2 linked regions of the Oryzias latipes genome follow. The protein of the gene in region 1 purifies or fractionates together with the protein of each later gene. This does not show direct contact. Links are inferred from orthologs where the notes say so. Each region holds a gene or a part of one and is shown on either strand. Other genes may lie near its edges.

Region 1 (3,386 bases):
AACCTAACTTTGTGTTTATGTATCATTGTACACACGGATATAGCAAATTGCACCTTTTTCTGGAAAATAAATCGTGATATTTATGTAGAATACACTACAAATTAAGTTCTTAAATACGTAATGTAGATAGCACTATACGTAATAAATACATAATAAATATAGCTAAGTGAGAAATCATCTCTTATGTGGTTTCCCGTCCAAACAGGAAGTAAAATATAATTTGTTTGTTTTTCTCTTTAGATTCTCGTTTATAGAAGCTGCATGGAATTCTACTGTTAGAAGATAAGTTAATAATGTATCTACTAACCAAGTATTTTACCTTTTATCAGTAATCACACCATCGTTTGTTGTCTCTCGTTAAGTCCACTGTCTTGGGGACAGTCGTCTTCCTTACTTCCTCATTCTGTGTATTTATGGCTGACGCTTTAAAGTCTCGCGACAAATGATATGTCGCATAGAAAGCTAAAGGCGGGGCTTACAATTTATTTCAATTCTGATTGGCTGAACGCTTACGCACAAAGGCGGATGACAAGCAGGTCTAAGATGAGCAAGTATGACTGTGCATTTTTAATGTAGTTATATTATTTATAGTTTCTGATTACAAATGTTGACATCCTGTTAAACTGTTGCTATTGGAAAATAAATATTCATAAAACAGAACACAGCTTTTAAACAATTTACCTTTAAAATCCACAAGTGATTTTACAATTTTTTCAAATGCGAGATTGTAATCGCATTTAAAAAACATCAGTAAAGTGAACGAAGTATTCATTAAGGATTCAATATTTATTGCGATTTACAGAGCTTCTTTTATTTTACACCCATAACAACAAACATTATGATCAAGTTTCCTTGCAACAAAATGTAGTCATTTGGAATGGAATTACAGTGAAACCAACCTTCTACACATTTTTCACAATAAGACTACAGCAGGTCCTCATACTTTTGTATCTGTATACTCAATATATACACATATGTATTTAACTTAAACAGCATCACACAAAAACCAAGCACGACATATTAGCCAAATAAGTCTTCTTTCATAAATTTATCATCACTTTTACTGCACAAATAATAAAAAAACACAGAAATCAGCAGGGCGATCAGGTGAAGCAAACATGAGGAGCTCAAGTTATGAAGGAATCATGTGAGCTGTGAAAGTAAAGGGAATAAACCCAACAAATATTCTGTTTTTTTTTTAATCTATCAATCACAGCCTCTTCTTTTTTTACATTACCTGTTTTGTTGTTTTCTTTGTTGGCAAAAGAAAGCCCGACACAAAACACAAACATTTACTCTGAAAACAGCGATGATGACTGTGAGAATTTAATCCATCCTGATCTTCTGATTGGTCATCCTATAGATGATGCTGTCATAACCTGGGTCCATGTTCCACAGGTTGTAAGCAATGACGATGACGGCGAGGACCAGCACGATCATCATCCACAGCACTATGTTAAAGATCACTGCGTACTCAAAGTTGTACTTGTAGGCCAGGTTGTACGGGCTGCCAGGGTTACTCTGGAGATGAACACAAACATTAAGTTAATCCAGGGGTGTGCAACCTGAGGCTCTGGAGCCACATGTGGCTCTGTTATGCCTCCATTGTAGCTCTCTGATTAAAGAAAAAGACGAGGATTAACATAGTTTTTGGACTATAAAACAAAACAGATAAGTTTAACTTTATTCAATCCATTTACAAACAGTGAAAGTACAGTACAACTCACTCATCTTTGCGGCTTCATAACTTATCAAAGTTGTACTAAAACACATTTTTGAGCACCGTGTGTCACAAAAGGCCTGTTTCAGGGTGCACTGTTGATATTTGAGAAAATGAAAAGATTTTAAGCGCCTTCTGGGTCACTAAATTAGCTCTGATTTAATTTGAGTTAGTCAGGTTTACAAATTTATAGCAAAAACAGTTCAAGTAATTGTGTAGGGTTTATTTTTTTTTAATCCCAATTGACATTAGACAACCTACTACATTTACTGCATTGAAAGGATCCCTTGTGATACAGGGTCTATTTTATTTTGAAAGGAAGTCTTGGGAAACTGCCAATAGTTATAAACGATTTCATATTAAGAATAAGAAATGTAATTTTCTCTTTACGTTTTTTTTTCATGGCAAGAATTCATTCATATTTATCATAAAAGTAACAATAACATAAATATAAGCTCCTACTGGGTTGGAGACAGTGTGAAATCAACCTGAAAGGGTCTTTAAGTGTTGAAGGTTGCAGGCCCCTGTGTTAATCCATTGTTAAATGAAATGCTGTTGAGTTCTCTGGACACCTTTCTTCCCGCAAGACTTACAATCTGCTTAGATTCCAGGATTGAACGAGACTTCCTGGTCAAAGGAGCTTCAAATGTTTTCACCGTGACAACCTCCACAGCAGCACTGTTGCCATAGAGACGATACATGTCCTCTCCAAACTAGAATGAAAAGAACGTAGGAGGTTAAAATGTGGTCCTGTTGAAGGCTTCTGCATTACCCTCCGGTCCTCCTCGGTACCTTCTGAAGGACAGAAGCAAGGATGGATGTGGCGTCCCGGTACTGAGGAGAGTCTTTGCCATAGACGCGGCTCAGCTCCTCCAGCCCAGACAGCTCCAGTGAGTACAGGTCAGGAGAGTTGTCCTTGGCCAAATGTCGGTGTCTCTGCAGCTGCAGCAAGATGAGATAAAATACATTTGACTCAAAGCTAATGAAATACTTTCTCCATGACTGAAGAAAAGACTGACCAGCCTCTTACCAGAGCTGTGATATCATGCAGCACTTGGACCTCAGACAGGAAGAGCAAATCTGCCTAAGAAAATAAAAGCATCATCAAAGAAGATAAGGTTTCTTTTCCACCCAGCAGGATTTTGGTTAGATGAGATTGTAAAAGTCCCACCCCGATCATCATTAGATCTACTGTGTACTACAGTGGTCTTTTTATTATGATTATTTAACTAAAATCCAAAACCTGTGTTGTTTTCTAGGACATCATTTCTGCAAAGCGGCAAAGGTTCATTAAAAATGTTGCCTCTGAGTTGTGGGCGGGACTGTTGGTGAAGAGTAAGCCCCCCTCCCCATCCCGATATCCATTTGTTTACACGCTCTCCTGCTAGCTTACGGCCCCTCACACCCCAAACCGAACATTACAAGTGCAACAAACATGGCAAACAAGATGGGAGCTATCCAGCTGCACAGTTTTGATCCAGAAACCAGCTCAGACTAGGAAAACACAGACAAACATGGATCTATTTGTCTGCTATTTGATGCATCAAAATGGAGCAGAGCAGGGAGGTTATGCCCCGCCAACTGTAGCTTCTGTGTCACATCCACAAGCTTCTTCAAACAGCATTTTTTCGTCTGCTACCGATTCACAACAATCTGAATAAAGAAA
Region 2 (3,151 bases), on another chromosome or scaffold:
CCAGCCGCAGCAGAGCCTGTGGAGAGAATGACCTTGAAAACAGGAAGCTGGTCGAGGACGTCATCTACTGCTGCCAGCTCCGCCCCCGTCATACCAACGACACCGAGATGAAGGAGATGGTTTGGACCTCTGGTTCCGTCAGAGTCCAGCAGTGAACATGCATGGCCTGTCATGGGGGGGTCCTGGGGGTCAACAACAAACTGGAATGTCCAAAACACACTTTTGTTTTATTCAAGAAGGGCCACAGTGGCCCCCCTCCTCCTGAAGAGCCGGCGGCTCCATGGCGAGTAGCGCCTGCAGCTGTGGGGTCTACCACTGAGGGGACTGCTGAAGACTCCTACCCCCTCCTGAATGAGACCATGGGGAGGTTCCTCTAGCTGCTCCCCCTCAGACCAGTACCAGAGGTCCTGGATCCGGACACCAGTCTGCTGTGTAACAGCGTCTGACCGTTTCCCCTTTCACTGAAGAGCAGTAACAGCGTTCTGAGGGAATGTTCCATGAAGGATTCCAACGTTCCGTCTGACCAGGACTTTGGATGACATCAGCCTCACTTTGGCTAAAGTATGATGTCATTACTCTCTGATGGAGGACTGTGATGTCACGAATAGTGACGTCCTTTACCTCCCACTATCGTTTTCATGATGTCATCATCAATCAAACGCGTCTATGGTTCCGTGTTTTCCGATCCACGGCTGAACGCAGCAGTGGAACCAACCTTCCTCCCAGCACCATCAGGGTCCCGCAGGAACCATCAGACTTCCCGCTGCCGGGTTGGAGGCGAGTCAAGAGAACGGAGCGGCGTTCAACATTTTATTTCAAGGCGTCAAAATCACAGCGGAATAATTTAACAAACAGGAAGTGGGAGCGTGGAATAATTTAACAAACAGGAAGTGGGAGCGGGTCGGACCCCACTACAACCACATGAAGGCGTGGCGAGCGGTTCATCGGAAGTCCTCTGCAGAGAACATGCCCTTGGCGCGGCGCAGGATGGAGTCCTTGGACGCGTCGTAGGGGTGCTCCTTAGACGGGATCTCCAGCACCGCCGGGATGGACTGCACGTGCGCGTCGATGGCGTGCCGGATCATTTCTGCGATGAACTGGTTGATCAGGATGATGCCGATGTCGTTCCTCGCCAGAAAGCTCCTGCAGAGGAGGAAGCTCAGTTAGAACCACAGGAGACTGGAACCAGAACCAGTCCGGCACCAAACACTCGGACCTGCAGCCAGACCCGGGTTCTGGCTGAAGCCCCCGTGGTGATGACGTCATCGGACCAAAGGATCTACTGGGAACCCCGATGTCCTTAAGGTTCTGTAAGAGCCGTAAAGGAACGTCTGGGTTCTGGTCGTTCCTCCCTCCACCGGCAGGAACCGGGAAAGTTCCTCCGTGATTCGGTCCCACACAGAACTCGTTTCCCTTTGATGTTCCAGCGCTTAGAGGCCTCGCGCTCATAATGATCCCGGTCAAAAGAGCGGACACGACGGTGCGTGCATGCGTGCGTGTTCATATGGGGGTGGGGGGGTCTTACTTGAACGTTTCCTCGATCTCAGTGACGCTCGTGTCTTTCTCCACCACCAGGAAGTTCGGTTTCCGGTTCTTGTTCAGCTCCCCGATCCCGCCCAGCAGGAACCCGGTGCACGTGTCCTCATCACCGATCACGGCGATCAGCTTCCCGCGGCCCGCCATCACGCGCTGTTCGGTTCGGTTCTGTAGTCACGAAGCTCACGTCACGTGAGCAAGTCAGCTGACTTTGTCACTTCCGTTTCAGGCTGCTGAGTTTTCGTCATTTCCGGCCCCTCCCCCCTCGATGCTCGTTAAAAAACGTTTATTTTCCTGAAAATATTCCTTTGCAATCCGTTTTTAAATACCTGTGGAGGTGAACAGGGGCTCCATTCTATTTTCTGTGATCTTTTATTCTGCATTTAATGGATTCTATATATGCATGTCTATTGTACTGCAGAAATATGCAGATTCCTGCCTTCAGGAACAGATAATATGTACAGAGGTCACCATAGGGGTCACCATAGGCCTGTTTTTGACTGTTGGTCTGTTTTCTTTCTGTACTGGAGTATTTATGGAGCCACGACAGGCGCAATGCAGACTAGACACAAACACACCATTCTAGTGACGTATCTAGTATGTTTTCATCTTCCCTCACTGAAGAATAAAATAGAAAGAAGAAAACTCATTATCTGCCCCATTGCTGCATCGACAACAGTAAATCAAAGTCAATCAAACAAAGAGAAGGATTTTTACATAAATATCCTATTAGAGAATATTTTTTTATTTACAATATTTAATAAAGATATTCTATATTCTATTCATTTTTGTGTTTTTATGCATTTTTTTCAGAACTACAAACAGGCTGGGCTCTAAACTCATCTACTCAGGTAAACGAGATCAGCTGGGATGAAACGTTGAAAAGCACAAAGTGTCTGACGGGCGTGACGGGCGTCTAATCTGAGCTTTCTGGCAAAGCCAGGAGCCGGGGGTGTCTGTGTCCCTGTGGTGTGGGTTCCGGTCCTTGCCCCTGAGTGATGGGACTCGCCAAATTTCCAACTGTGGCCGAGCCTGGTCGGGCCATGTTTACAACACTTCTTGTGGACCCCCTCTTCTCTTGGGTGACCTCCCCCTGGGCGGGGACGGCTGGCCCCTGCCTTGCTCTTTTCTGGACCAGCCGTGGGCCTGGTGGGTGGATGTGATCGCCCGGGAGCAGTTGTTCTCTGCCTGCTGCCGTGTGGCGTTGGGGGGTTGTGGCTGCCGCTGCTGCTGCGGTGGGGGTGTGTGGATGGCTGGACACTCTCCTTCCTTCTTTTCACATTCCATCATCCATTCAAAAAGAACATAAACACTCACCTGAGCACAGGTGTTAGCTCACCTTTGCACTAAAATTATGCGTGATTGAATGAAATGTTTCACACTATTTGGTTTGAATGCATAAGTATGAGTATATGAACATTATTTGTATTGTGTACATGTTGACATGTGAACATTTTTTGGAGCCAACAGGTGTGTTATAACATGTGTGTGTGTGTATGTGTGTATGTGTGGACACGCCCCACCCTTAAAGACCTGTTTTACATCTGAACCTCACTGTAATGATTACAACCATCCAGAAACTTGTTGCTTTATGCTGCTTCATGGTTTTACCCCC

Evidence for each region. The genes of interacting proteins can lie anywhere in the genome.
Region 2: the proteins of atp6ap2 (region 1) and atp6v1f purify together in Homo sapiens (affinity purification with mass spectrometry; 3 studies listed by BioGRID and IntAct, counting the BioPlex papers as one, with this or other methods). This does not show direct contact. The link is inferred for Oryzias latipes from reciprocal best matches to the Homo sapiens genes ATP6AP2 and ATP6V1F.

The regions. Positions count from the first base shown.
Region 1 is NC_019879.2:8,801,003-8,804,388, reverse strand, and holds the end of atp6ap2 (renin receptor), read right to left. Parts: intron 2,805-3,386; coding exon 2,751-2,804; intron 2,663-2,750; coding exon 2,513-2,662; intron 2,434-2,512; coding exon 2,314-2,433; intron 1,522-2,313; coding exon 1,327-1,521; 3' UTR 768-1,326; downstream 1-767. UniProt on the Homo sapiens protein: Multifunctional protein which functions as a renin, prorenin cellular receptor and is involved in the assembly of the lysosomal proton-transporting V-type ATPase (V-ATPase) and the acidification of the endo-lysosomal system.
Region 2 is NC_019881.2:23,881,736-23,884,886, forward strand, and holds atp6v1f (V-type proton ATPase subunit F), read right to left. Parts: upstream 1,754-3,151; 5' UTR 1,684-1,753; coding exon 1,526-1,683; intron 1,144-1,525; coding exon 942-1,143; 3' UTR 797-941; downstream 1-796. UniProt on the Homo sapiens protein: Subunit of the V1 complex of vacuolar(H+)-ATPase (V-ATPase), a multisubunit enzyme composed of a peripheral complex (V1) that hydrolyzes ATP and a membrane integral complex (V0) that translocates protons.